Linked DNA regions of Anolis sagrei. The protein of the gene in region 2 purifies or fractionates together with the protein of the main gene of each other region. This does not show direct contact. Links are inferred from orthologs where the notes say so. Each region holds a gene or a part of one and is shown on either strand. Other genes may lie near its edges.

Region 1 (15,887 bases), on a different chromosome or scaffold from region 2:
AAAACAGGAACTTTTCCAAGACAAAACTATTCCAGGGACAAAGGCAAACGAGAGCTAAACATTAGCTTGATATGAATGCAGAGTTGTCTACTCCAAAGAGACCAGGAAAATACCACCCAATTTAAGCTCAAACCCAAACAAGATGCCATGTGGTCATCCCTTCAGCACCTAGGTTTCCAGGACTGTTTCTCATGAAGTCTTTCTGCCCTTCTATTTAACCTTTATTTTGCTCTCTCCCTGCAGAGGCCTAAGCTCATATCACTGGCCAACTCTGCATCCTCTGCAGGCCAAGAAAGCCGAGAAGGCTGATTCTCAAGAGAAAGGGAATCTCAAATATCCTCTATCTCTTTTGCAGCTGTTGGCCCTGCTCTCTCATCTACAGCCTGCATTCCTGTCTGCGTTTCAGCCTGATCACACCCAGACTCAGTAAAAAATACATCATTCCCCACATCCTCCAAGGCAGAATCTCCAGCATCTTGCTGCTAAGCCCCAACAAGTTTTGTAAAATCGTAAAAGTTACTTGTCACACAATGGTTAAAACATAACCAAACATAAGTCAAAGTCACTTATTGAAGCTGCTCTTTTAAATGGTTTTTTAATTAAAAAAGAGGTATGAGTTAATACATGTATGTTTATGCCTTCAAGATGATTTATGGTGACACTATGAGTTTCATTGTACTTTCTTAGACAAAAAAATATTGAGAGGTGGTTTTGCCAGCTCATTCCTCTGAAATACAGGCCCTGATATTTACTTCATATAGATGAATGTGTAACTTTTCCATTATACAACTGATTGCATAACCAAAGCTACAGTAATATAGCTATGAATAGGTTTTTAATTGGATGTGACCACTTATAATACAATTAATATTTAATTCTATTTTAAAATTTGTACATTTTTAGGTTTCAAATTGTATTGATACAATACAATTTGAAACACAATCTACAAACAATCTACAGACCTACTAAGAAAATCCAACAAAAGCTACATTCAGCAAAGGACAAGACGGATCCTCTCACTTCTTCACAAGTCTACCATATACCATGCAGCTGTGGACAAGTCTACATAGAAACCACCAAACACAGCAATGCCCAAACATCAATCAAGGAACACGAAAGACACTGCAGAATATTCAACCTGAGAAGTCAGCCATAGAAGAGCACCCGATGCCCTACCTGGACACAGAAAACAGAAATGCTGGACCACTCTAACAACTACCATGTCAGACTACACAGAGAAGCCATTGAAATCCACAAGCATGTGGACAATTTCAACAGAAAGGAGAAAACCATGAAAATGAACAAAATGTGGCTACCAGTATTTAAAAAAACCTCTAAAATCTGGACAGTAAATAAAGAGGAACACCTAAACTACAGGGGAATTCCTGAAATGAAACAATCAGGGCCAGCTAACACCTCCCAACAAAGGATTCCCCCAGATAGCAATCAGCCAGTCTTTGAAGCTGCAAGGCCATTCAATGCTAATCAAGCTGGCCATTTGCAACAACAGAGAAGAATTCTTTCTCCCACTCTAGACATTCCACAGATATATAAACTTCACTTGCCTAGTTTCCAAAAGACCTCACCACCTCTGAGGATGCCTGCCATAGATGTGGGCAAAACATCAGGAGAAAATGCTTCTGGAACATGGCCATACAGCCTGGAAAACTCACAGCAACCCCCTGTATTGTATTGGTTTTACTGTAAGCCACTGAGTCCCAAAAGCAAACATGTTATTTACCTCTTCTTCTTTGCGAATGTTGCACTGTAAAGGAGTCACCTGGGCAGGGTTTGAGGATGGAATTTTGGCAGCCAACTCTTTTGCTGCGGCTTTTAATCTGTCAAGTTTGCGAGAGGCTATGACTACATTGCAACCTGTTAAGACAAAACCAGATGAATATTGGGCATTAGTAGCAGTTGAATGATGCTTTGGGTAGGATAACGGATAGCATGCAGATTGAGATAAGCCTCCATTATCGTTTTCCAAAACTTCAAACACTCTCAGCAACTTTGGAAAATCGCAAACATGGCTGGATCAGATCAAAAGGCTTCTGTAACCACAAGAGCACTTTAGATCCAAGGTAGATCTGAGGTTTCTCCATGTTCACTTTCCATTACAGCAACTTGAGGAACCAGTTTAATAAGCTACTTCAGAGAAACATGGGATAGATAAACATATTTTGCAGTTTGAGCAATAGAGTTGCCTCACAACTTGTAAAAATTGACCTGCCTACAGATTCAGCAATGTTGTAGGTGGCCTACATTGTAAGGGCAAATCTCAACTGAGTGACAGTGCAAATGAGTAATAACTAGCCAACAAAGTAGAATTCAAACATTATTTCAATATCCCACTATGTAGGAAATAATCTACCATGTACCCCAAGTCCTTGGTATCTGCTGGAGTTTGGTTCCAGGATACCACATAGATACTAAAATCAATGGATGCTCAGGTCCCATTATATACATATAAGGATGTAGTAAAATTGTGTCCTTATATAAAATGTCAAAAATCAAGGCTGGCTTTTGGGAATTTTTGTTAATATTTTCAAACTCTGGATGGTTGAATACATGGATACGGGATCTGTGGATATCAAGGGCCACCAATACACTTGTTGAGGAAGTTTTAAATGCAGCTTTCAAATAAGAACACTATTTGTCTTTGCTTTGCAGCAAACATTTCCAGAATGCTCGTATTTTGCAATTGTCATGTTCTCCACTAGCCTTCCCCCATGCCAGCCTAATGTTTCGGATGGAAAGTGTCCACCAGCTTTTGGAAGCTAAGCAGGGTTAGTCCTGGCAAGTACTTGGTTGGGAGACCAGGTGCTATAGATTAGGACTTCTTAAACTTTTCCCTCTCACAACCCCTTTCTGCCTGAGAAATGTTTATGTCATCCTGGATATTTATAGGTATATAAAATAGATATAAAATCAAACACTTCCTGGAAATAAAACAGCAATTACAAGCCTTGCTAAACAGGCTGCATTTCATTTTTGTAAAATACAGGCAGCGCCCAAGTTATGAACAAGATAGGCTCTGTAGGTTTGTAAGTCGGAACAGGCACATTTTTAAGTGTCTGTCTCTGTCTCTCTCTCACACAGAGAGAGTTTAGCTGTGGATAGCATAGGGAAGGGTTAACAACCCTGTGGTCATTCTTTTGCTATTTGTGCCTCTGTTCAGAAGATTTCACCGCAGTTTCTGTTCTTGTGATAATTGAATTTTGAAAAACAAATATTGTGGAAACAAGAATTGGCGAGAAAGCTTCAGTAGAGACACCTTTCCCCCATGATAATGTTTTCCGGAGTGAATTTCCTTTCCTAGGTGTAGATTTCTCTGATTTCCTGTAATCTCACCCTTTTTTTTAGTTATGAGTTGTTTGCAAGTCAGATGTTTGTAATTCGGGGATGGTCTGAACAGCTGAAACCTTTTCTACACTATAAACACTGCATGTTGTGCTAACGGATTCTTGTAGATATCTAGGCTATATTCAGAATATTAACTGTTAGTCCAACATTGAGCTCTGGGGACCCCATTTGAATGAATGAAAGAATACAAATTTATTTATAGTCTGTCCTATTTCCCCAAAGGGACTCAGGGAAGCTCACTACAAAATACACAATGGTAAACATTCAATGCTGACAGTAATATATAAGCAAATCAATAAACAAATCAAGAACAACTCAATAAATTATAAACCAGCACAAGTGAACAAGACATAATGTAATCCACATAATTACTAACATATTAAATCCTTAAAAGATTTAAATTTCTAAAATCAGGCTAAAATTGTTGGGGGTAAATTGCCAGGACCCACAGTTTAGCAGTGCGGTAGAATATATTTCACAGAAAGAAAATGGAAAACCACCTCTGAGTCTTCCTTGTCTAAGAGAATATTATGAAATCCACAAGGTTGCCATAAATTGACAGGTGACCTGAAAACACACACACATGCATACACGTATAGTAGGTGTTAATGGTCAAAGGTCATGATTCAAACCCTGGTGAAAGCTCACTGGATTTTACATTGGGAAGAGTGGGAATGAGGGCCTTCACAAATTGCAAAACAAAACTGCATTATATGGCAGTGGCGATGGGGCTAACCCAGTGGTTCTCAACCTGGGGTCTCTAGATGTTTTTGGCCTACAACTCCCAGAAATCTCAGCCAGTTTATCAGCTGTTAGGATTTCTGGGAGTTGTAGGCCAAAAACATCTGGGGACCCTAGGTTGAGAACCACTGGTTAACGTTTTCTCTCAGGGGCCTTCCATTCAGCTATACAACCCAGAATATCAAGGCAGAAAATCCCACAATATTTCTTTGAACTACCATAGATTCCTGTTCACAGCAGAAAACGAGGGATTTTATTAAGCTGTGTCTAAGGGACCCCAGTTACTCTGAAAGCTATCATTACACACACCCACACCCACACCTTTTATGCAAATTAGCCTTCTTTGCAATCCCTGGTTTGCACCCACATGTCTTCAGCCTCTCATATGACAGTATTGCCAAAACAACACCTTCTTCTTTCACTAAATGCAACCCACGGCTTTTGTCTATACAGAACGTTTTCTGCAAAAAGTTTCCTCTTGACACCCCATCTCAGTATGTGAAAAAGAAAAGGTTCCCCCTTGACATTAAGTCTAGTTGTGTCCGACTTGGCGGGGGGTGGTGATGCTCATCTCAATTTCTAAGCCAAAGACCCAGCATTGTCCGTAGACACCTCCAAGGTCTTGTGGCTGGCATGACTGCATGGAGTGCCATTACCTTCCCGCTCGAGAGGTACCTATTGATCTACTCACATTTGCATGTTTTCGAACTGCTAGGTTGGCAGAAGCTGGGGCTAACGGTGGGAGCTCACCCTGTTCCCCAGATTCAAACTGCCGACCTTTCAGTCAGCAAGTTCAGTGGTTTAACTCGCTGTGCCATCGGGGGCTCCCAGTATGTGCAAATCCTATAAAATGTAAAGACTCATGCCATTAAATATGGTAGGAGTGACACCCGTCTGATTTCCCACCCAAAGCGGGTCTCTTGTATTTTATCAATGCGTTCGCCTTCAAGCTGCTTCTAACTCAGAGCGGCCCAGTGGCAAACTTGTCACAGGGCTGAGAGATTGTGACTCACCCAAGGGATTACCACAGCCAATCAGGACTTGAATCCTGCACACCAGAATCATAGAGTTGGAAGAGACCTCGTGGGCCATCCAGTCCAACCCCATTCTGCCAAGAAGCAGGACTCGCATTCAAAGCACCCCCGACAGATGGCCATCCAGTTTAAAAGCCTCCAAAGAAGGAGCCTCCACCACACTCTGAGGCGGAGAGTTCCACTGCTGAACAGCTCTCACAGTCAGGAAGTACTTCCTAATGTTCAGGTGGAACATTGTAGTTTGATGCCATTGAAACCTGCTCCTTCCTCCCTATGATTTCCCCTCACATATTTTCACATCATGTCTCTTCTCAGCTTTCTCTTCTACAAGCTAAACATGCCCAACTCTTTAAACCGCTCCTCATAGGGCTTGTTCTCCAGTCCAAACCACAGGAGACATTCAGACCCAAAAATATGGCACCAGTTTGGCTGCCATGGCAGTGGAAGTGGTGTCAAACTGCACCCGTGTATATCAGGCCTGGGCCAACTTCGGCCCTCCCTCCAGGTGTTTTGGACTCCAACTCCCACAATTCCTAACAGCCGGGGAGTTGGAGTCCAAAACACCTGGAGGGAGTTGTGGGAGTTGGAGTCCAAAACACCTGGAGGGAGGGCCGAAGTTGGCCCGGGCCTGGCGGAGAATTGGCCCCGCAGCGCCCCTTCCTGATCTGCCCACCGAGTTGCAAGAGGTCTGAGGTGATGGCCTTCCCGATGCCGGTGCCTCCTCCAGTCACGATGGCCACATGGTTGCGAAGTAAGCCCGCCGCCAAGACGCTGCTCCCTCCACCGCAAGCCATGACGAATCCTCCAATAGCCCAAAAAACTCCAAAGCGGGCTTGAAGCAGAGTCACGTGACGGCCCGCCTCTTTTCCCTCCCTCCTTTTAGGAATCCATTCCCGAAGGGGGCGCGGCCTCGAGTAAGCCACGCCCCTCCTCGTAGGAATCCTTCCAGAAGGGGCGTGGCCTCCATGAAGCCACGCCCACCCAATGCGTTGCAATGAGAGAGAGAAGGGGCGGGGGTCGCCTTGCAGCTGGTACCCAATGGGAGTCACTCAGGGGCGGAGGAGGACCAGGAGTGGGGGCTGCTCTTTCTCAGGCAGACGGAGACAGAGACAGAGACAGAGAGAGAGAAGGAGCCCCTTCCTGGGCTGCATTGTTCCTGCGAGGAGAAAGAGGAGGAAGGACCTTTGCAGGAGGAGCAGGTAAGCCCCCCCCCCCCCTTGGGCCCTTCCACTGGAGTTTCCATTTCCACGCTCTCTCTTCTAGCTCTTCCTCTTTGCACTCTTTGTATGTCAAAGCAAGGCGGGGGGGGGGGGGCACACACCAGATGTGCCTCTCTCTCTCTCTCTCCTTTGTAAATGGGATTTGTACAGCATTGATTGGCCTGTGTCCAAGTGCAGAGGAGAAAAGATCTCACTTGGAGAGTCTACCCACTTGGGGTTGAACATTTTATTGGGCAAATTCATTCATTCTTCAAACAGCCCCCCTTCCTGTAAATGGGATTTATAGTAGCTAATGCCTCCCAACAAAGGATCCCCCCCAGGCAGGAAGCAGCCAGTCTTTGAAGCTGCAAGGCCATTCAGTGCTAATCAAGGTGCGTCTCTCTCTTTCTCCTCCTTTGTAAATGGGATTTGCTCTGCATTGATTGGCCTGTGTCCATGTGCAGAGGAGAAAAGGTCTGAGTTGGAGAGTCTACCCACTTGAAGTTGAACATTTTTGGGGGTAAATGAATTCATTCTTTAAATACCCCCTTCCTGTAAATGGGATTTATAGTAGCTAACACCTCCCAACAAAGGATTCCTCCCAGGCAGGAAGCAGCCAGGCTTTGAAGCTGCAAGGCCATTTGGTGCTAATCAAGGTGGGTCTCTCTCCTCCTTTGTAAATGGGATTTGTACTGCATTGATTGGCCTATGTCCATGTGCAGAGTAGAAAAGGTCTGAGTTGGAGAGTCTATTCACTTGAGATTGAACATTTTTGGGGGTAAATGAATTCATTCTTTTACACCCCCTTCTTCTAAATGGTATTTATACTAGCTAACACCTCCCAACAAAGCATTCCCCCAGGCAGGAATCAACCAGGCTTTGAAGTTGCAAGGTCATTCAGTTCTAATTGGGGTGGCCAATTGTAACACTTGCCCCCAACAAACAAGAGTTCCTTCTCTCACACTGGACATTATTTCACAGATATATAAATCTTACTTGCTTAGTTTCCAACAGACCTCACAATCTCTGTGGATGCCTTGCCATAGATGTGTAAAGGTAAAGGTTTCCCTTTGACATTAAGTCTAGAAGTGTCCGACTCTACAGAGTGGTGCTCATCTCCATTTCTAAGCCGAAGAGCCGGCATTGTCCGTAGACATCTCCAAGGTCATGTGGCCAGCATGACTGCATGGGGCATCGTTATAATTTTATTTATAACCAGCGCTATCTCCCTGAGGGGACTCAGGGCAGTTTCCAAACATTTAATGCCATAATAAAAACAAAACAAGCCAAATGAACAATAAGTAAATAACACCAAGAACTGAAAACTAACCCAACATTAGTTAATCCTTCAGCCCCTGTCCTCTTTACTAAATACCTTAAAGAAAAACTAATTGTGAATCTTCCCTTTATAAACACCTTAAAGAATAATTAATTCTTAACCTTTCCTCTCTGAACATTCCGAATAATTCTTCAACACACACACACCCATTGTAAATGGGATTTACAGTGTGAATGAGCAGAGAGAATCTTCCTTGGAGGAATCTCTATTTTCTTCCTTCTGGATGAAATCCTTTGGCCAATTTATTAATTCTTCAACCTCCTTCCTCAATATCTTAAAGAAGAGGTAATTCTTATCTCCCCCTCCTCCCCTTTCTAAACATGTTCTTTAAACTGAGGTTGGCCCCTTCCACACACCTGAATACAATCCACATTGAACTAGATTGTATGGCTGTGTGGGCTAAAACCATCCAGTTCAAAAGCAGATATTGTTGATTTATCTGCCTTGATATCCTGGGTTATATGGCTGTGTGGAAGGGCCCTGAGCATCTCTCAGGAGTGCTTTAGTTGTGTGTTCCTGTATGACAGGATACTGAGCTCTATGGCCCTTGCAGTCCCTTCCCACCCATGCTTCTGTGCATTGCCTTTGAGGAGTACCTTGCAAGTAAAGGGAGAGTCATATGGCCCCACCTTTTACTCCGCTTACATGGTGTGGAGTTGTAATGAGGAGTGTGGTGGGCGGGATGTGGCTGCAGGTGAGGTTTGAGCCAGGGATGCCCTCTTGTGCCTGAGCTGTGGAGCTCCTCCTCCTTAAGTCAATTGCTGTCAATTAAGTAAATTGAATTTACCGCAATTAGGTTGGATCATTTTGTAAGAGGGAACTAACAACAGATGCCCTTCTGGGCTTGGAACTTCCCTGTGTGTTGCATCCTGGTTTTTTGAGATACTCTTGAGTATCAAGAGTAGAGAATGTGTCATTTTTTGCGGAAGGTGGGAGGGCATTGAAAGCATGTTGCTGCACCATTCCAGGTGCAGAAGCAAACCAGGAGTCCATCTGCACTGGCAAATGAATGCAGTTTGACACCACTTTTAATTGCTATGGCTCAATGCTATAGGGCAGGCATGAGAAAACTTCGGCCCTCCTACTGGCTGTTAGGAATTGTGGGAGTTGAAGTCCAAAACACCTGGAGGGCCGCAGTTTGCCCATTTCTGCTATAAAATCATGGGAGTTTTAGCTTTACAAAGCTAAAGAGTGCTGTTGCCTCACCAAACACCAAATCCCAGGATTTATTTATGCAATTTAATCTGTGTTCCCTAAAATGTCTGCCTCATCTTAGGACCAGCCTATGAGGTCATACTTATATACATGTCTAGCTGAAGATAAATCCCTCCATTGAATTCTATGGGACTCATATCTCAGTAGTAATTCCTGGCTCTGCACTGCTATTTACTTATCTGAGAGTAAGCTTTGTTGACTATAATATGATTTCTTGTGAATTGACAGTGATTATTTTAATTCTTTAAGTATTTTACTGCTTATGTGTTGCTCTGATGTTTTGATGAATGGTTTAATATCACAATGAATTTAATTTATATTGCATTTCTTGTATTTTTGTTGTAATTTGTAAAATCATGTTATAAGGTATGTTGCCTTCTGAACTTGATAGAAAATGGGATATAACTGGAATGCATAAATGTAGGAGCATGATATTAAAATATCAAAAAGGAAATAATGCCAGCTGTAGTAGAAAACAGTTGGTTGTGTGTGTGTTCCCCAAGATATGCAGTCATTGAATTTGGATATATCTAATATGAGTCGGCCATAACACCCCAATGGTACACTGGCCCAGGACAATTGATCAGTGGCATGCTAACTCAGCATGTCAATATGTTTATGAATAAGTTGTTTTAGCCTGATCTCTCCATTAAAAGGAGCTCCCGGCGGCACAATGGGTAAAACTGCTGAGCTGCTGAACTTGCTGATGTAAAGGTTCAAACCTGGGGAGCGGCGTGAGCTCCTGCTGTTATCCCCAGCTTCTGCCAACCTAGCAATTCGAAAACATGCAAATGTGAGTAGATCAATAGGTACCGCTCCGGCGGGAAGGTAACAGTGTTCGATGCAGTCATGCTGGCCACATGACCTAGGAGGTGTCTATGGACAACAGCGGTTCTTCGGCTTAGAAATGGAGATGAGCACCAACCCCCAGAGTCGGACACAACTGGACTTAATGTCAGGGGAAAACATTTACCTTTCCCTCCATTAAAAAGAAAAATAACTAATGGAATATTTCAAATCCCTGTCCAGTGTTGTTCAACATCTTTATAACTGATTTGGAGTGCATCTGCAATATAAAATTAATGTAGTTTGACACCACTTTAACTGCCATGGCTCCATGCTGTTGAATCATGGGAGTTGTAGTTTTACAACATTTTTTTGCCTTCCCTGCCAAAGAGTCCCAGGGCCTTGTCAAACTACAAAACTCAGGATTCCATAGCACTGAGACATGCCGTTAAACTGCATTAATTCTCCCGTGTAGGTGCACCCTTGTGTGATTAAACAAATGTGTATTACACATTCACATATGGCACAAAAATAGGCAGAGTTGTTCACATCCCAAAGGACAGAATCAGTATTCCAACTCGACAGATTGGAGCAGGATAAACATAAGGTGCTATATTTAGGCAGGATAAGTGAAATGTACAAATATTGGATGAGTAATTTGAAATAGTAAATGCTCCCAGTAGACTGCAGGCTAAACATGAATCAGAAGTGTGATGCAGCAAGCAAAAAAAAAAGCCCGTGCAGTTCTGGGGAAAAGTATGATAGCTGGGGCCCTACTCTAGTAGTTGGGAGCCTACGCTGGTTGCACAACGCGGGGCAGAATTAATGAAGGGAAGACGTGAGCAAAGCGGGTTAGAAAGGGGGGAAGACAGAAAGGGGGGGGGGCAACAAACAGCCAAGCATAATGCTTAAGGCAAGTGATGTTAGAGGTTATTTACTGTTAAATGATAAACAATGGCTTACGAAGATGGTAAACGGGGTAGAAATGTTTCCTCTCCCCCTTTGTGGCGAGCAATGTTCCCAGGACTCTGACACAGCTGTGTCTCTTACTCGCTCCAGTGTCTCACACACCTCTTCCCTTCCTTAATTCAGAGCTGCGTTACACAACTAGCGTAGCATTGGGTCCCAGCTATCATACTTTTGTCCAGTTCCGGCCTGTATCAATGGAACGAGGGAAGTAGCGGTGCTTTTCTGTTCTTTCTCAAACTCCAGCTGTAATGCTATGCAAAATTCTGGGTCCGGTTCAAGGATATTGCCAAAGTAGTGTCCAAAGGAGGAGAATCAACATGGTAAATGATCTCAAACCAAGCCTTTTGAGAAATGGCTTATGAAGCTGACTATGTTTAACTTGGAGAAAATAAGATTGAGTGGTGATAAAATAGTTATTTTTCAATATACAAAAGGATGTCATTTAGAAGACGTTATCTGCTGCTTCAAAGGCTAGAGCACAGAGCCTTGGGTTCAAATGGGAAGAAAAGAGATTTGCCCTAAACATTAGGAAGAGCCTTTGATGGCAAGAGGTGTTTGACAGTTGGAGAGACTATGTCGGAAGGTGAAGTCTCCTTTCTGGAAGATTTTTAAGGAGAAGGGTGATGACTATCCCTCGGGAGTGATCTAGCTCTGAATTCTTGCATTACAGATCTTTGGCCTAGCAGTAGTTCCCAACCTGTGGGTCCCCAGATGTTTTAGCCTTCAACTCCCAGAAATCCTAACAGCTGATAAACTGGCTGGGATTTCTGGGAGTTGGAGGCCAAAACACCTGGGGACCCACAAGTCCAAAACCACTGGCTTAGATGGCCCTTGCAGTCCAACACAGCTCTATGATTCCATAGTTATTTGGAGGCTAATGCTCCCCAGATATTAGTATCTGTTCAAGGAAATTTGTTGTCACACTGTGCTCAAATCATTATTCCTTTAACAAACGGGAATTTTAAAAATGTGTATTTCACCATAAGCGTCATCACATCTTTGGGTTGATAGTATATACAAATCAGTCTCAATCCACAAGCTCAAACTTCAGTTCTGGAGCAGTGTGACAAATCTTGGTGGTCATATACTTGCTCTTTATGCAGTGTTTCCTTTGTATAGCCACAATTTGTCTTTAGAAGACTGAGCAACTTGAAAAATAAATTGATATGTTTTCTATTTGTATGTTTACTCTATATTCCTTCTAAAGACTGCATATGATTTTAACACGTAGATCAATAGGTACCACTTCGGCAGGAAAGTAACAGTGCTCCATGCAATCATGCTGGCCACATGACCTAGGAAGTGTCTATGGACAACACTGGCTCTTCTGCTCAGAAATGGAGATGAGCACCACCCCCTAGAGTCGGGCATGGCTAGACTTAATGTCAAGGGGAAATTTCTACCTTTACTAGGCTAAAAGAGTGCTACAGTGGATTTTCAGGCTGAAAGAGTGCTACAGTGGATTTTCATGCCCAAATTATTTATTTATTGCTGCTATTGTATTAATTTGATTGTTTTAACTAGTTGTTGTTATATTGTATTTTGTATATTGTATTAAGTGAACTGTTGGGCATAGAATTGTGCCTTTTGTAAGCCGCCCTGAGTCCCCCCTAGGGGGTTGAGAAGGGCGGGGTAGAAGCACTCCAAATAAATAAATAAATAAATAATGGGTAATTCAGACCTTCTTCTCCAGACTCATAGTCTCAGTACAGTTTTAAGACTACTGTTCTGGAATAGAAATACTGTTAGTCTTGGAAGTATCTTTTGAATTAAATAATGCTTTATCAAGTGCTGTTAGTCTCCCTAGAATCAATGAAATTGAGCCAATTTAGTCTTGGCAGTCCCCAAGTTACAAACAAGATAGGTTCTGTAGGTTTGTTCTTTAGTTGAATTTGTATGTAAGTCAGAACAGGTACATTTTTAAAATGCATGTACAAAGGTTATCTAGAAAGTATGATTAGAAGACACATAGCTCTAGTGGGGAATTTTTGCAGGGTAAGTTGGTACCACTGCTGTGTAGCGGGAAGCCAACGAAAGCGAACTAACAGTGTCAGCCATCAGTAGCTCATCAACTGGTGTTGTGGTGAAGGTTAGAGATGAGCGTCCTCATTCCATTTCCCTCCAAGTGCAAAGTTTGTGCTGCAGTATGCTACCTAAATGCTAAGGGTATGAACACACTGCTGCGATTCATTGCAAAATTGTATCAGTTTATGGAAAGGACGTAATGTCAAGATAACATGTGACAAATTGGGTATGGAATATATTGTGAGACCATGAAGAAACTTCTCTAAGCCATCCAAAACAATGTCGTGAGATTGTACGACAGTTTGTCTCCTTCATGACAATGCACGTCCACACACCGCTCATACAACACAAGAGTTGTTGACTTCATTTGGTTGGGATGTTTTAAACCACCCATCTCACAGCCCCAATCTTGCACCCAGTCACTATCATCTATTCACTAAATTGAAGGAACATCTTGGTGGAAAACACTTTTCTGACAACGAGGAGGTGGAAATTGAAGTGACGAACTGGCTGAAAAAGATGGAGGGAAACTTCTATGACTCAGTCAACAAAAATTCATCTCACGGATGACAAAATGTATTGAACTAAATTGTGATTATGTGGAAAATAATGTAATACCTCTGCTACAATCCATGTAAGTTTTATTAAAATATATTCATTCTTTGTATTTTTAAAAAAATGCAATCTTACTTTCCGGGTAACTCTCGTATTTAGCTTTGGATGGCATAGGGAAGGATTAACATCCCTGTGGTGTTCGTTTTGGTGTCTGTGCCCCTGATCAGAAGATTTCACCTCACTTTCTGTCCTTGTAATTGGATTTTGAAAAAAAAATGGCTCGTTGTGGAAAAAAGTATTACTAATAAATCTTCAATTGATACAACTTTCCTTGTGATAACTCTTTCAGGGGTGGATTTCTCTCACTTCCTGTTGTCTCACCCCCATTCTTAACTAGGAGTAATTCATAAGTCAGATGTATGTAACTCAAGGACTGTGTATACTTTGCTATCCAAGCTGATTTGTAGCTTCCTATCTTCAGTCTCATTCCCATAAGCATCACCCTACTGGAATCTAGTTCAGTTGACAACTAGTCCGAATCATCCACAAGTCATCTAATATAAAATGCTTTCTGACAGCAAAATTCTATACTTGTCTATTCAGAATCAGTAGGATTTACTCTCTAGGAAGACAGCTGTAGAACTTTAGCAGAAAACAATGCTTTTGTTTAGCTTATGCTTCCTTTTTTTTTGTATGGCATCAGCCGTTGCCTTCAAAAGGAATAGTCAATCTCTCTTTAGGTACGGATTATCATTCTTTATGACCTTTCTGATATGGCTGTGTTTGTAATAACATGCATAGTCTATAAAAGTAGAATAGGGAGAGAATTCATATTGGAGATGTTGATTATGATCATCCTTTTTCTGGAACAGAAAATGATATTTTCAATGGATAAGATTTGCCACTTCCAATTGCACACTGCATGAGAAAGGCCACAAGAGCCTTAGCTTATTTAAAATTGAAGCGGATTAAAAGCATAGCTGTGCTTTGGGTGTGGCTTATGCCTGTGCAGAAACTAGTGCTGCACAGGGTGAAGCATATTAGATTTGTCAGTGCACAAATAAATACACAGGAAGGAGTGGTGACAGTGTCTAACTCACCAGGTTTGTTTCCAGGGTTGATTGCTCTCACATTTCTTGTGTTCAGCAACCATCATTCTGTCCCCTCTGCTTGCTTTTTTAAATGCCATATTCCATTAGGCTTTGTTGATTCCTCGCCTGTCATGTTGCTATGACACAGCCATATAAAGCACCATTTGTTTCCCTAGGATGCCCTACATATCTCAAATGGACTATATAAATTCAGTTCTTTAATCCCAGGGAAAGCACTAATCTCAGCTAGGAAAACTAGGTCTTCATCATTCTGAGTGCTAATTCTATGGGTGAGCCAGTTCTGTAAAGATGCTTTTCTATGTTGGAGGCATTCTGGCAAGATTATTTGTGATATTGCCTTCCTTTTGGGAAAATAATGGTTAATTTATTTTGAACAATGATTGTTTACTATTCTCTCTTGCATGATAATCTTATTGAGGGGCTGCTTAAAAATGCAGATATCCATCTTTGGCACTGTTTATTCATAGAATCACAGTGTTGAAAGGGACTGCAAGAACCATTTAGTCCAATTCCATGCCATGCAGTAGTACAGAACTTAATAATAATAAATTATTATTATTATTATTATTATTATTATTATTTTGGGTTGCTGTGAGTTTTCCGAGCTGTATGGCCATGTTCCAGAAGCATTCTCTCCTGAAGTTTCACCCACATGTATAGCAGGCATCCTCAGAGGTTGTTGGGTCAGTTAGAAGCTACACAAGTAAAGTTTATATATCTGTTCAGTGGCTTCTCTGTGTAGTCTCATATGGTGGTTGTTAAGGACCACCAAATGTAGCATTGCCCAAACACAAATCAAGGAACATGAAAGGCACTGCAGACTGATCCAACCAGAGAAGTCAGCCATAACGGAGCTCTAAATGAAACTGAATTCTAATGTTTACTTTTTCCTGCTCAGAGGAAGGAGCATGCTGCAAGCCTAGGCCTTTGTATTCCTTTCTGTTTATACAAATGTCACTTAACCACGAGAGAGGAATGTTTGGCCAATGAGCTACAGGTAGCCTTACTTTATTTTTTTTAACAAAACTTTACTAATATATTTTGCTTGGAAAGACCCTCTAAGAGATGTTGGGGGGAAATCACCACATTGGGGAAGGGGAGTTGTGGATGGTCTTTCACTAAAGCAATGGCACAGAAGGCTCTGGAAAGCATGCATGCAAGCTGAAAATAGCACTAGATTAGAAACTAAATGCTAAAAGGGAAGCCATTATTTTTGGAAGCAATCAATTTTCCTGAGCAATTACAGGCGAGGGAGCTGCAGAGATTTTGCTTTTCCTTAATAGCAAAGACCTCACTAGACACCAAGACAGGAAAAAAAATGTGTACTACTCTTCCTCAGACATCAGCATTCTGGCCAGCCATCTCTATGTCTGGGTTTTGGAGTCCACCAGCAGCCATAGAGTGCCAAACATCCCTAAACAATGCTTCTTTTTCTGCTTTGAGTTTTAGAAAAATTGTAGCACTTAAGGAACATAGTACAGTCAGTCCTCTGCATTTGTGGAGTTGATTAGAAGTTGACCATTATATTACCTCAGCAATATCTACCTCA
Region 2 (16,077 bases):
GGGACCAGTCAGCTTCGTTATAATCCGTAGAAACATCAACCACACTGTCGGCAGCATTAAGGAACTCTTGTGACCAGTTTTCAGAGAGAGCCAGGGCTGCAACCCCTGGAGCTGAGGGACAGAGAACAAGTTAACATGGGTGTTCAAACTTTAGCAAGAGTAGTACCAGTACACAAGATTCCCCACCTTACGCTGTTTCCTAAATTCACTAACTTTCCTTCCAATTCCCAGAGAAATCCTTCCTCTGGACAGGAATGGATGCCATCATCACATGCTCTCATCCCCTGTGTAATATTTACCTCTCTGTGGGGCTTGCCGAAAACTGGATTGCTCGATTTCTTGCATCTCAGCCAACAGATCATCCATCTTGAATGTTTGTGGTGCACGAGACAGCAGGGGGCCATTTTGCTCTTGAAGGAACTCTGCCACCAGCTACCAAAAAGCATTCGGGGGGAGGGGGGTACAAATAGAGTGTATGTAAATACTGCAGAATAGTTTAAGGGTGTTGGCAACTCCAAGACTAATTCATTTGTTATGGTATAGTTGGCCCTCCACTTTTGCGGATTTCACTTTTTGTCACTTTGCTTATTTATGGGTTATTTGGTGCCACCTCTGCTGCCGCCCTACATATGGACTGCAAGTCTGGTAAGAGTGAGGTAGTCCGTGAACATGTAATGAGGCTCATATGTTCTTATTAAAAATGTAGGGCAGCAGTAGAGCTGGAGCCTGCCTCCCTCATACACACACACCCCTCACCTGCTAACTGGGCCATGACGGGGGCAGAAAAACAAGAAAAGGGGCCAGTAGCAATTTCCCCTGTTTTGCTGGGATGAAGCAGGTGGCACTGCAAAATACAGCAATAAATCCTCTAAGCCAAGCCTCTCTCCCATTTGTTTTTCAAGTCTTGCTGGGGGGGAAGGGGGGAGAGAAACAAGGGTTTTGGCTTAGAGGATTTATTGGTATGTTTTGTATGGCCACCTGCTTCATTCCAGGAAAAACAGGAAAAAATGCTTCTGGCTCTCTTATTTGGTTTTGTTTTCCCCTGGAAGCAGTAGGCTGTGGACTGGTAGCAATGTCAATGCATAGGGCTTGCTTTTCCTCCTAGAATCTACTGGCTGAGGCCTGTGAGGTTGAGATGGCAGCCACGCTGCAAAGAGGCCGTGGAGCTGTGGCAACTACTGTGGCCCAGTTAGCAGGCTGGGGGAGGGAGCAGGGCAGAGCAGCATGGTTTGGGCCCCTCGTGTCCCAGAAAGAACAGGGGAGGGGCTATTTGGGCTTTCCCACATTTGCTATGATCTTGTGGCCCTAGCCCCTACCACAATGGGAGAATGACTGTCTAATCTTGTGAGGATTAAGCAAACTGTAGTCAATATAAACTCACAAGTCTTTGTTTTTACAGCAATAGCTAACAAAGCCACCCCTCTAAAAAACACAGAGCACACAACAGAACGAGAAGGAAAGAGAAAAAAATCATTGAAGTTCTTACTTCGTCTTCTGAGGCTCTTCCAAGAGGTTTAGATATCTACAGAAGAAAAGGGAATGTTATCCGAGAACTCATAAAAAAAGAAACATTTGAGAGGTGGCACATTCCAAATTTTACAGGACCCCTCTTTTCCTACAACAGATGAGACAATATTTGCACATCATCCCAGGTAGAGCTCAACAAACTTACTTGTAACAAAAACTGTTGCAATCTCAGTGATCTCTGTGTTTAGAAAGACTCTTGCAAAACCATTAGGATTCCCATATAACTGGTTCTTAAATCTTCCTGAGAAGAATTTAATGCCCTTAAATGAACAACTCAGGTAGGCCTTCTCAGGCTCATTTCCTCAGAAAATAGTGGCAAAGCTATCAGGACATTAATGTATATTTGGCAGAACACCAACAACGACTTTTGGGTCTAGTTGTTAGGGAAAGCTACCCTAAAATAAAGCAGAGCATCCAAAAATCAAACTGGATACCAATAGTTGAGCAATCAGCCCAAAGGCGAGCAGAACATGCAGTGCCATGTGATGTGGCCGCAAAGATTTCAGAGCTTACGAAGCAAACACGCAGAATCCGATCTTTTAAAAAATCACAAATCATTTACAATAAAAGTCATTTACAATAATAAAGAACTAACTACATTTCTTCATGGTGAAGAACTGAATCTGAGCTACTCTAACACCCATCTCTCCTAAGGGGAAAAAGGGGAAAAAACTCAATCATTACATCTCTCCTGACACACAAGCAGAGAGAGATCTCAAAGCACACAATACATATTATATTCTCCATACTAAAGTGTAAGAAGGCAGAAAATTAAAAAAAGGCTTGCAGTAGACAAGTATTCATAAATAACCAATCAGAATGAGAGTAGAAAGAGAGGAGATGAAAAAGATACACCCCCAACTGTCATATAGGAGACTTGGGTGAAGGGAATTCCCTTAGCCTATCCTAAACTAACTGATCCTTGTTGAGGACTTGAGATTTGGACAGGGTGGGCTTGGATTCCAACATTAGTGAGGATCCCATCAGACAGATACACTCCACTGCCCATCTAAACTTTATTTCCAAAGTACAGTGCATCTGGAGGACACTCCCCCATTTCCATTCCACCTCCAAAGTGATGGGCTTGCTTAGGGAGCTACTTCAGAGACACTTGTGATTTTCAGCCAATTTTGGACAATGCATGGGGCAAGTTAGAGTGGGATGTTAAAATAGACTCCTGTTCATTTCCTTCCAGAAGTAAATTAAGCCCTTTGTGGCTTGGTCTCTCACCAATGTTTGCAGACAAGAGAGATTTAAAAACGGGCTTAAAGCTAACCTTTAAAAATGTGGTATAAATACAGAGAACTAAAAAGCCGGGGTTCTCAAGCATTGCAACTGGAGGTCAGCTCTTACCAACAGTTCTATGGATTTTGAAGAGGTACAAAGAGAGAGTGAAAGGGTGAAACATGACAAGAGGAAGGCATGTCAAGCAAACCCATGTTGGGACCACCTGCTATCTAGAAATCTATGTGAAATACCATGCAGATCCAGAATAGGTCTTCACTGATCCACGGCCAAGACTCTACCTCTAGAAGGGGCATGTTGCTGGGAAGGTTGTGGGTTGGATTTCTGGGGGATGTGATATTTAAAAAACCAAACATTTTGTTGTATTTTAACTGTATTTTGAATTTAACACGAAAAATACTGGGTTTTTTTTAAAAAAAATGTATTTGCTTTGTTTCAAATGGATCAAAATGTATGACTGTTAGCCTCCTTGAGTTCCCTCGGGGAGAAAGGCAGGGTATAATTAAAGTAAATTATCACACTATGTAACATAATTTGAAAATTTTGCTGTTCCTGGTTTGAAAGTGTTATTTCCTGTTTAATTGTATGGTACTTAATGTTGAAAGTAGTTGTTATACTCTTATACACTTTGTTTTGGTGGCTGCCACAAACTATGTTGAATTGGTTGAGATATTCATTGGAAAACAATAGCAAAATGTGATATAGCAGAATGTCCCACAAGAGCAAAGTTTTTGCAGTTTACTAAGTTTTTCCCCCCATATGTTTATGATAGAACCAATTAGGAAATGACATTTATAACCCAGGAACAAAAATCATGTTATATAGTGAGAAGACATTCATACTCGGCCGAAAGTGATCACCTATGATTAATCTCTTACTATCAGCAGACCAGCTCCTGAAATCAAAAGTCGACTATCCATTTTCCATTTATCTGGAGAATGTGGTGGCCTCAGAGAGGCAGAGAATAAATCAATGGAATTTTAAGAACCATGTAATAATAACTAATTATGATTATTTCATTTATTACCTGCCTCTCCTCGTGGCAGGTTAAAAAACAATTAAAATACATAAACACAACAAAAACACTACAAATATACACACTAAAACGTACCTCCATAAAAGTTACATACAAAACGTATCTCTATGAAATACATACTAAAACAAACAATTGTTTTGTAACCCACCTCCAGCCATGAGAAGAGGCAGGTGAGAAATATTATTATTATTATTATTATTATTATTATTATTATTTTACTGACCCAAAAACACAGTACGTCATAGCAAATGAGATCTATATGCTAGATTTCATATCACAAAACCACAAGTCGAACACTTCCCAAGCATCTAGGACTGTGTGATGTATTTTTGAATGATGCGCGCCGATCCAAGTAAGATGATTTTGTGAATGTTTATATTTCTAAATGCCAGCTGAGATCTTTTGGCATGGCACTCAGTATGCCAATTACCACTGGGACCACCTGTACTGGTTTATACCAAAGCCTTTCAGTTCGATTTTGAGGTCCTGATAACGGCTGGGTTTTTCCAGTTGTTTTTCATGAATTCGGCTGTCACCTGGTATGGCGACATCAATAATCCAAACTTTTTTCTTTTCCACAATTGTGATGTCTGGTGTATTGTGTTCCAAAACTTAGTCAGTCTGGATTCAAAAGTCCCACAGTATTTTTCCATGTTCATCATCATCATCATTCTCATCCAGTGTACTATCATTTTATGTTGTACCTTTGGCCCACCCACTGTGTTTTATTTTCCATTATGTTACTTTGTACTGTTTATTTTACTTTATTGGTTTATTTATTTTATTGTGATGTTATTTTGTTGTTTATATTTTATGTTGCTGTAATGTATCACTGGGCCTGGCCTCATGTAAGCCACTCCGAGTCCCCTTTGGGGAGATGGTGGCAGGGTATAAATAAAGATGATGATGATGATTATTATTATTTGAAACACAACAAGATTTGTTGTTGTTGTTCATTCGTTCAGTCGTCTCCGACTCTTCGTGACCTCATGGACCAGCCCACGCCAGAGCTCCCTGTCGGTCGTCACCACCCCCAGCTCCTTCAAGGTCAGTCCAGTCACTTCAAGGATGCCATCCATCCATCTTGCCCTTGGTCGGCCCCTCTTCCTTTTGCCTTCCACTTTCCCCAGCATAATTGTCTTTTCTAGGCTTTCCTGTCTCCTCATGATGTGGCCAAAGTACTTCAACTTTGTCTCTAGTATCTTTCCCTCCAGTGAGCAGTCGGGCTTTATTTCCTGGAGGATGGACTGGTTGGATCTTCTCGCAGTCCAAGGCACTCTCAGCACTTTCCTCCAGCACCACAGCTCAAAAGCATCGATCTTCCTTCGCTCAGCCTTCCCTAAGGTCCAGCTCTCACATCCGTAGGTGACTACAGGGAATACCATGGCTTTGACTAGGCGGATCTTTGTTGCCAGTCTGATGTCTCTACTCTTTACTATTTTATCGAGACTGGACATTGCTCTCCTCCCAAGAAGTAAGCGTCTTCTGATTTCCTGGCCACAGTCTGCATCTGCAGTAATCTTTGCACCTAGAAATACAAAGTCTGTCACGGCCTCCACGGTTTCTCCCTCTATTTTCCAGTTGTCAATCATTCTTGTTGCCATAATCTTGGTTTTTTTGACGTTTAGCTGCAACCCAGCTTTTGCGCTTTCTTCTTTCACCTTGATTAGAAGGCTCCTCAGCTCCTCCTCGCTTTCGGCCATCAGAGTGGTGTCATCTGCATATCTGAGGTTGTTAATGTTTCTTCCAGCAATTTTCACCCCAGCTTTGCATTCATCAAGCCCCGCACATCGCATGATGTGTTCTGCATACAAGTTAAAAAGGTTGGGTGAGAGGATGCAGCCTTGCCGTACGCCTTTCCCAATCTTGAACCAGTCTGTTGTTCCGTGGTCAGTTCTTACTGTTGCTTCTTGGTCCTTGTACAGATTCCTCAGGAGAGAGACAAGGTGGCTTGGTATGCCCATCCCACTAAGAACTTGCCACAATTTATTATGATCCACACAGTCAAAGGCAACAACAAGATTAATACACACAACAAGATTAATACACAGCAAACAAGATCATTATGCTGGTTGTTATATTGGATCACATGTTGGACACTTCCCAAGTGTCTAGGACTATGTGATGCATCGGCAAATAATGCCTACAGATCCGAGTAGGGTGGCATTTTGCAGCTGACAGATGGTAATTTTGTCAGTGCTGATTGTGTTTAAGTGCAGGCCAAGGTCTTTAGGCACTGCACCCAGTGTGCCGATCACCACTGGGATCACCTTGACTACTACTTATTATTATTATTATTATTAATTAGCCTCAATCTTGGGATGGTCTGAGCCACACCACTCTCCCCACACCCTCTCACAACCCCACAGCTTCCTTCTACTTACCACCTCGGCTGTGGGTGGCCCAGAAGGCCATGGCAGGGTGCCCCGTAGTCCTTCCTGCTGCAGGCCCTTGTCCTGGGTGAAGTGGCTGGCCAGCTTCATCAGGGGGTTGGAGCCCCCGCACTCGGGCTCCACCAGCTCCCTCATGGCCATGGCAAGTGACGGGGGAGAAAGGGAGACCCTCCTCACCTGTTGGAGGAAGGGGCATAACTGCACTGCGGGGTCTGCTCAGCCAGATCATGTGACCTGCTTGGCTGGGTTTCCCTTGAGGGGCCCAGTGGGAAGCTGAGCTCTCTCTATATCCATCTAGACTAGGCATGGGAAAAGTTGGACCCACTGAATGTTTTGGACTTCAACTCCCACCATTCCTAGCAGCCTCAGGCCCCTTCCTTTCCCTCCTCAGCCGCTTAAGCAGCTGAGGGGGGAAAGGAAGGGGCCTGAGGCTGCTAGGAATGGTGGGAGTTGAAGTCCAAAACACTCAGTGGGTCCAACCTTCCCCATGCCTGGTCTAGATTCCCAACCTTTGGCGCTCCAGGTATTTGGGACTTCAACTCCCAGAAGCCCTTGCCAGCTCGGCCCACGACCAGGAATTGTGGGAAATGAAGTCCAATAGGTCCCTGCGGCCCACAGGTTGGGAAGCACTGAGTCCCTTCTGCCAAGCATGCAGCTCCTCCAGGGGGCTGGGGCTCGCGCTGGAGGGAGTGGTCCCTCGAGAGGCGCAAGCCAGGCCGCGGATTGGGCCTTCCCCAGCCTCCCTCCATACCTCTCTCCAAGCCTCTGCCTTGCCCTGATCTCCGGGCTCGGGAGCTTCTCTTCTGCACCGCCGGGGAGACAGCCACTCGCCAAGCTTGCAAGGCCTCGGCCCCTCCTGCTTCTGCTTCTGCTCCAGCCGCCGCGAAGCCCGGACTGGCGACCACTGCGCGAGGCCCCTCCTTCTGGCTCACGGGGGGCCCGCCCCTCCCTCGAGGCGCAAGCCCCGCCTCCTTCTCGCTCTCTGTCCCCGCCCCCGTGAGGCCTACCTGGCTAGACTCGCCAAAAGAGGCAAGGGGCGGGGCCAGCCCTTAAAGAGCCAGGCCTCCTGGAAGGAGAGGGATGAACCATGAACCATGAAGCGGGCCCAGGCTCTCCATGGACAGTTCCTGGGAAAAACTGAGAACCAAATTGACAAAGAAAAAACATGGATATGGCTCACAAATAGAACTTGGAAAAAGGAGACAGAGGGACTGATTTTGGCAGCCCAAGAACAAGCCATTCGAACCAATGTATTGTCGAAGGCTTTCATGGCCGGAATCACTCAGTTCTTGTGGGTTTTTTCGGGCTATATGGCCATGTTCTAGAGGCATTCGAACCAATGCCAACAAAGCCAGAATTGAAAAGTCGACAACAGATCCCAAATGTAGACTCTGCAAGGAAGTCCTCAGCTGCTGCAAGAAGATCGCGCAGATAGACTACAAGCAGAGGCATAACACCGTTGCTCAGATGATTCATTGGAACCTGTGCCACAAATACCATCTGCCTGCGACAAAGAACTGGTGGGATCATAAGCCGGAAAAAGTTACAGAGAATGAACACATCAAACTCCTCTGGGACTCCGAATTCAGACTGACAGAGTTTTGGAGAGCAATACTCCTGAACTCACACTCGTGTTAAAAAAGAAAGTATGGATTGGCAATGTCACAAGTACCACCTGCCAGTAGTAAAGAACCGGTGGGATTATAAACCTGCAAAGGTAGTGGAAAATGAACATGCAAAATACTGTGGGGTTGACAAAGTTTTGGAATACAATGCTCCAGATATCATGATTATAGAAAATAAAAAAGTTTAGATTATTGGTGTCGCCATAATGGGTGACAGTCGCATTGAGGAAAAACAAGAGGAAAAAACTCAGCCGTTATCAGGACCTCAAAATCGAACTTCAAAGGCTCTGGCATAAACCAGTACAGGTGGTCCCAGTGATCATTGGCACACTGGGTGCCGTGCCAAAAGATCTCAGCCGACATTTGAAAACAATAAACATTGACAAAATCACGATCTGTCAACTGCAAAAGGCCACCTTATTTGGATCTGCACGCATCATTTGAAAATACATCACACAGTCCTAGACGCTTGGGAAGTGTTCGCCTTTTGCTTTTATGATAAGAAATCCAGCATATAGATCTCATTTGCTGTCACATGCTGTGTTTTGTGTCAGTAATATAGTAATAATAATAATGATGATGATGATATAATAGTAATGCCCAAAAATGGAAGAGCGAAAAGATCCCAACACTAGAAGAGTGGACAATAAAAATCCTCGACATAATGAATATGGGTAGTCTAACAAATGCACTCAAGAAAAACCTGAAACCCACGATAAGAAAGACGGATTGGACAGCAATTAAGAACTTCTTTAAAATTAAGTTAGATATAATGAAGATACGATGAGGAGAGACAGAGGGAAATAGATATGAATATCAAGATATCCTGAATGGACTACATCAGAGGAAATTGAAGATTACTGTGCACAGTCCTCTATTTTCTCAGATTTTTCACCTTTTCTTTTTTCTTTCTTTCTTTTTTCTCTTCTCTACTTTCTTTACGCCCCCCCCCCCTTTTCCCACAATTCACAATTTACTGGTGGTGGTGGTTCTTCATTCTTATTGACTCATTGTGCATTTTAAATAAGTTGAGAAATAACCCCTTAATGTACCCCTATTTTATCCTTTAATAAAAGATTAATTAACAACAACAAGCCTATGCTGCCTGATAATCCGGTTCAAACAGATAATCCAGATTCAGAGTGCAGTCTGTTCAGCACCTTCCAAGTCGCCCAGTCTTCTGTGTGAAAAGGAGGAAGTTTCTCATCCGGTATCAGCCATGGATTGAGGTTCCGGGTTTTAGCCTGCCACTTTTGGACTTTCGCCTAGTGAGGTTTTTCTGCAAGTAGCTCTGTAGATCTTAGAAAGCTGTTTATTGATTTAAGGTATTGGCGTGCTGGCTGATATCTGAACAGAGGATGGGACGGAGATGTCACTGCCTTGGTCCTTTCATTATTGGCTGCTACTTCCCTTTGAAGTCAGGCCCCATCTACAGTGCCACATAATCCAGTTTCTGAATCTGGATTATCTACTTTGAACTGGATTATATGAGCCTACACTGCCAGATAATCCAGTTCAAAACAGATAATCCGGATTCAGAATCTGGATTATATGGTAGTATAGATCCATCCTCAGGGCCCTTCTAGACAGGCCCTGTATCCCAGGATCTGTTTATATGAGTCCCCCACTGCCAGGTAATCTAGGATAAACAGAAAACCTGGGATCAGATCCTGGCATATAGGGTCTGTCTGAAAGGGCCTGCTGCCAGATAATCCAGTTCAAATAAAATAATCTGGATTCACAAACTGAATTATATGATAGTGAGAAAAGACCAAATCCAGCCAGAAATACAACAAGATACCAGTGGGTGCAAGTTCTTGTAACTGAGCAAAACAAACAAACAAACAAACCCCACAGCAGGCACATCAACGTAATGAGCTTTTCCCCAACAACATTTCACAGATAAAAATAAGGAGATGCTAATGCATGCACCCAGCAGGCAAGGACTTCCCATATCACACCAAGGCACCCCATACCTTTCCACTGCATGCCAGGACAGGTGGGCCAAGCACCCACACATAGGTGCTGTGCAGCAGGTCAAGACTTGTTCCCATGCACTTGCATTCTCCATGTTCACGTGTTTTACTGGCACAACAAGGCCTCTTTCATGCTCCAGTACAAAGAAATTACAGTGCATGAGTGGACTGGGCCCTGAGGGTGAAAAACTCCTGATTCTGGGCACTAAGCACCTTTACCTGGAGTTTTTATCACTCTGCCAGAGACAATCATAAAATCATATTGCGGTGGACCCAGGTTATTCCAGGTGAAGTTTGACCAAAGCAGAATAGAGAGGGACTCTGACTTCTCTCAATCTAGACCAGGCTATTAGGAATTGTGGGAGTTGATTGAAGTCCAAATCACCTGGAGGGCCGAAGCTTGCCCACGCCTGCTGTAGGAAAGGAAGTGGCCTGAGACTGCTAGGAATGGTGGGAGTTGAAGTTTGCCCATGCCTGGTGTAGGTCATTCCAGGTGAAGTTTGACCAAAGCAGAATAGAGTGGGACTCTGACTTCTCTCAATCTTGACCAGGCTATTAGGAATGTGCCTATTGATGCAACCTAGACTCACATTGGCTGTTTTAGCTGCTGCATCACGCTGTTGACTCATCATCCAAGCCATTGATAAAGATGTTGAAAAGTGTCATCTAACACAGAAACCCCTGCCTTCAAATTAATCTGACCACAGCAGGGGGTTCCACAGTTCCTGGGAGTATGAGTTTTCCAAGTATCTGCAGGACAGAGGCACTAGCAACAGCTACAACAAGAGATTCTCCTTTTCCTCCCTTTTCCTTGGCCTCTTTGTAACAATTCCCCAATAAAGAAGTATCCTTTTAGTAACTTTCTGCTACCTGCCTGAGACATTGTGTCCTTTACTTACTCTAACTCTGCCTTAAACCATAAATTTTCCCTCTCCCGAGCCGTGCAGCCCTGCTGGCTTGCCTGGGACGCTCCAGCAGCGTCCCGGGGGGTGATCCTTTATACCGTGGATACGGGGACCCACCCCGGTTTCGGTATCCGTGACTTAACTGATCGGCCCCAGACCAGCATTATCATCTTTCTTGATTAATTATAAGTCTAACTACTATCTCAATTTCTGCTGAATGGACCCCTACACCCCTCAGATCCATCTTTCTCATCCAAAATTCCCATGTGGAAACCTAGGACCTTTTCATGGTCCCATGGTTCTGCATGACAGCAGTACCATTTTTCTTTTGTGTGTCGCCTCGAGTGGTGCCTGATGGTGCTTGCAGACCCCGGAAATTCCTCATGTGTCACCCCTAAAACCCAGGCTAGCATCAGGCCAATCTGATCATTTTTATGAATTGGGTTCCTTTTTTTATGAATGAACCTCCTTTTTTATGAATGGACTGAAGTGGGGCTTGGGCTCTGATTGGATGAGCCACATCGGTCGCTGGCCGCTCCTCCTGGCTCACTGACATAACAACCAATCACAGCGAAGCTGGCTCAGGGGCGGGCGTGGGAAATTTGAATTGGGAAAACTGTTTATATTCTGTAATTCCCTGCTCAGGAGTCATGTCTGCTCCTTTGCATGATACTGCAGTCATCATCCTTTCCAGCTGGAATAGAAAATAAACTTCAGTGGCTTTGCTTCATCCTGGTGAGATTTATTGGGAAATACGGAAACTTTTATTGGTGCTTATTGTCTCTCCAGGCATAGCTGACCCTCCTTTTAGCTTTTCACCGGCTTCTGCTCAGGCAGGGCCCGCAAAATCGTGCTCTGCTTTTTTAGCACTGGGCGCAGGACAAACTTCTGTGGCACCTCCACTGGCCACTTCTTTCCAGGCTGAAGAGGAGCCATTTGTAAGCACCTTTGGGTTCTGCCAGTTAACCCATTCCCAATTCACTTCTGTAGCATTGTCCAAGGACTTGCTGAAATCAATCTACATCTACAGCATTCATTTCATCTACCAAGCTTGTAACTCTATCTGGCATCAGTTGTTTTTGAGAAACCCAATGCTGACTTTTTCTGAATATGGTATTGCTTCCTATATGTTTGCAGATTGTCTATTTAATTATCTGCTCCATAATCTTTCCTGTCATTGATGTCAGGCTGATTGGGTAGTAATTGTTTGGGTCCTCTTTTATCCCCTCTTTGGAGATAGGAACAATATATGCTGAAACCTCTCCTATTCTCCGAGAATTCTTAAAGATGATTGCTATTGTTTCTAAAATTATTTCTACTACTTCTTTTAATACCCTTGGATGTAGTTCATCTGACCCTGGAAACTTTAGTTGTGTATCCAATTCTGTATTGATAAATTCTCTAACTCCCCCCCCCTCCATGCTTTTACTATTTCCATCCATGTACATACCAGAAATATTATAAGGTCTTTGATAGTTTCTCATTTTTGTCTTCAGACAAGAAGAAAAGCAGTAATGCCCCTCTGAGGGCCTTTCCACACAGCCCTATATCCCAGAATGTCAAGGAAAAAAATCCCACATTATCAGGGTGTGGACTCAGATAACCCAGTCCAAAGCAGACATTGTGAGATTTTCTGTCTTGATATTCTGAGATATAGGGCTGTGTGGAATGAACATAAGGGCAGTTTGAAATAGAAATGACAGTAAAATGTGAGCTTTGACAACAGCTAGTCTGCCTAATAATGATTGACCAGTCTTTTAGCTTTTAAAAATATAACAATATATTTCAGTGTGCTATGTCATTTGTTCACACTATTCCTAAATATCTATAGCCTGAAAGACACATTGATAAATTGGACATTCTTTTTAGAGCTAATTGGTTCTCTTTGTTTGTAGTTAATATTTTTATTGTAATTTATTTTGAATCCTGTATGTATGCAATTGTGTCCCACGTAGGCACCGTGCCATCCACAATCAAAGTAGCTGGAGTGTTGTTTTAAGGACCACTTTGGAATGGGTGAAAGATTTGTCTGTTCACACTTGCGCACTCGCAGTGAAAGTGCTTTGGTCTTTTGCCACCACTAGAGGTCAGATAGGATCCACCAACCAAGACCTTATAAGCCTTTTCCCCAAGACTATAGCCCCATCTAAAATGCCATATAAAACCCAGATTATCTGCTTTGAACTGGATTATATATAGCAGTGTAGACTCATATAATCCAGTTCAAAGCAGATAATGTGGATTAGCCTGTTTTGTATTATATGGCAGTGTAGGAGGGGCCATGATTTCCATGGTTGAACAAGAAATTGAATCCTGCTTCTACAGCCTTAGTCCCACACTCAAACCTCTACACCAAGGGCCAGGTCACAGTCCCTCAAACTGTTGGAGGCCCGGATTATAATTTGGAAAAAAATATGAATGAATTCCAATGCACACTGCACATATTTTTTGTAGTGCAAAAAACAATACAATAATTAAAATGAAGAACAATTTTAACTTATTAGTATTTCAATGGGAAGTATGAGCCTGCTTTTGGCTGATGAGATTGGATTGTTGTTGTTGTCCCGTGCTTTCAAGTGGCTTAAGACTTAGGCTGACCCTGAGCGAGGGCCAGTTAAATGTCCTTGGAGGGCCGTATTTGGCCCCCGGGCCTTAGTTTGAGGACCCCTGCTCTGCAATATGCTGTCTTTACCTGTATGCCCTGTGCAGAAAGTAATTTTTGGTTTGGCATGCCTGAAAGGGCTTCCTTCCTTTCTTTGAGTCTGGTAGATAAATATAGCCCAAAACTTGCAATTACCGGGTAGGAGGAAGACTGTCAAAGGAACTATAATAGCATTTCTAGGAGCTGAACTCAGTATATAAAAATAACAATATGCAGAAGTGGAAGAGAAATGTTTCTACTTATAGTATCTGAACAATGAAAAAGAAAAGGTAGAACCCCTTTCTTTTTTTTTCTTACCCTATTTGAACTGAATAGACGCATGTTAAATTATTTTTTCCCTTTATTCCGGATGACTCAGTGTTGACTCTATCTGCCCCCTTCTTATCCCTGTCAAGGTAGACTGGTCTTTCTCTCCTCCCAAAATAAAAAACCCCCACATATTTTGTTATCCCAATGTGATTTCTTGAATATTGAATAAATTAAGATTTTTTTGTTTCTGTTTTTTTTGGGGGGGGGGGAGTTTTTTGCAGTTTCCAGAGTGAGAACTATGGCCTCATCTACACTGTCATATAATGCAGACTGAAACTGCATTATATAGCAGTGCAGATGGAACCTATCACCTCTTTTTCCTCAAAAGTGTATGTATACCACCTGAAGTTAGGACTTTGTTTCCAAAGGATTTGTCTCCTGCCTGTAGTTAATCATATCCAGTTTGCCTTCTTTTTTATTAAGCAAGTGTAACATCTGTTAATTTTTGCCTGAGGAAGAAATAAATGGTTTCAAAAGTTTTCACAGGGGATTTTGACCCTTTTTGATGGATGCAATAAAGGTGGACCAAGGGAAGAAGATTCTTTAAGTTTTCCACAGATTAATGACTCAGTGTGTTCCACCCAGGATAAGGTTTAGAGTACCAACTAGATTTTATATCTTCTGAAAAGGTGATCCAATGTTCTTATTTTTCTCATGTTCTACAGCAGTGGCTAGGACTAAAGGGAACTCCAGATGATGTGGAACTATACCTCAGCCTTTTCGAGATCATTCACATGTAGACAATAGCAGGGCAGATTCCAAAGTCATCCAAAGGACATCGAAGGATTAAGTCTGTCCTACCTCAATTTGTTAACCCAGCAGCATGTTCTGGGAATAACACAGATCAGACATAGAAGGGTACCTCCCCCTCCCCATAGTCATAGTTGGGACTGAATTCTGTGTCGGGGAGTTGGATTGACCCTAGTGTAAACACAGGGAAGATGAGAAACCAAGAAGGATAAGGCCAGGATGACGCAGCTTCTTCTTACCTGCCCCAAAGTAGGATGGATTTAGATAGACCCTGCACTCTATGGGATTGGATGGCATGGAAGTGTGGGGCTTGTGGGATTGGATGGTGTGGAAGTGCAGAGCCCTTCCCATAAAGACCCACCCTAAAGAAAAAAAGATAAAAGTTCTTAAAATGTTCCCCATTCAGGGCCTCCCTAATCCCGGGACCACCAGTCTAGTGACAGCCCCCTTTTGTGTGGGCCATGACGAAAAGGCCTGTTATAGGATATAAATATTTAAACATGAAAAAAGAAATAAATATTTATATCCCATCTTTCACTAGAGCATTTCAAAGCAGTATGTTTCATTGCACAATGGTAGCACTTTCCCTTCCTTTTTTCACCAAAAAAAGGGGATGTGACTATTATGCAACAAAAACATCCTGTCTTTGATTCTCTGTTTTCTTGTGTTTTTTTAATGCCTTATTTCTGAAAGGGGAGGAGGGAAGAATAATCCATACTCAAACAAAGCGGTCTGTTTCTGTTTGTTTGTTTGTTTGTTTGTTTGTTTGCAGAACCATTTGGAGCTGATTTTCCCATTCCTTCCTTCTTTCTCTGAATGCAAGGAAATTTAAAAACTATAAAATGGAGGCCTCTGAAGCGCCATTCTTCTCTTCTCCATCTTCTCTTTTTCTTCTGAGGTGAGGCAGTTCACAAAACCTAGAGAAAGGAAGATGGAGGATGATCTAAGTTCCAGAAACTTGGAAGAGGGAATCAGTCCCAAATGCAAGTGCGACTATTATGTGAGGAAAACAAAAATACAATTTTGTCATCCCTAAAAACGGAGGTGTGACTATTATGCGATGAGAGGCAGTAATTCTTGTCCTTGCACACAAGTCATTGAACAGTTGCTTTTACATTCCAGTCACTTATAATTACAACATGTCTATTTTGGTTATGATTAAATGGATCAGCTTGCCCTTAGGCTTTGTATTAAATCCCTTGACTGCTTTTGCTACATCTCTTCTCATTATTAATGCCACTGTATTTCTTCATAGAATAAAACACTTTGCAGTTATCTGACTCAAAGTGTGCCATTCCTATCTAGTTTACCTAATCCATGCCAAGTACTGCAATATTTATGTGCACCATTTCATCTTTTACAATGCTTGGTTTCCCCTGATTTATGTCTCTCACATTTCATGTTCCTATAATATGTGTTCTTTAGCTGTCCTTTCACCTCTAAGGATATCAGTAGCTGAATGTTAATTTGATTAGAGTCCCATTGCATTAGTAACTACAATACTATTCACATTTATTCTCTGCTCATCCCTAGTAGCTTGTTGAGTCCCTTCCAATCTGGAAACCTCATCTTTTGGAACTATCTCCTAATTTTATTTTGACCAGTATCATCATACGATTTGGAAGGTTGAAAGCTTCAAAAATGATACA

The links.
Region 1: the proteins of PEX5 (region 2) and PECR purify together in Homo sapiens (affinity purification with mass spectrometry; 3 studies listed by BioGRID, with this or other methods). This does not show direct contact. The link is inferred for Anolis sagrei from reciprocal best matches to the Homo sapiens genes PEX5 and PECR.

Annotation. Positions count from the first base shown.
Region 1 is NC_090021.1:226,562,034-226,577,920, forward strand, and holds the start of PECR (peroxisomal trans-2-enoyl-CoA reductase), read right to left. Parts: upstream 6,010-15,887; 5' UTR 5,933-6,009; coding exon 5,812-5,932; intron 2,252-5,811; exon of another isoform or gene 1,876-2,251; coding exon 1,742-1,875; exon of another isoform or gene 244-1,741; intron 1-243. UniProt on the Homo sapiens protein: Participates in chain elongation of fatty acids. Catalyzes the reduction of trans-2-enoyl-CoAs of varying chain lengths from 6:1 to 16:1, having maximum activity with 10:1 CoA. Has no 2,4-dienoyl-CoA reductase activity.
Region 2 is NC_090022.1:198,464,972-198,481,048, reverse strand, and holds the start of PEX5 (peroxisomal biogenesis factor 5), read right to left. Parts: upstream 7,138-16,077; 5' UTR 6,953-7,137; intron 6,379-6,952; 5' UTR 6,343-6,378; coding exon 6,193-6,342; intron 1,523-6,192; coding exon 1,487-1,522; intron 433-1,486; coding exon 300-432; intron 112-299; coding exon 1-111.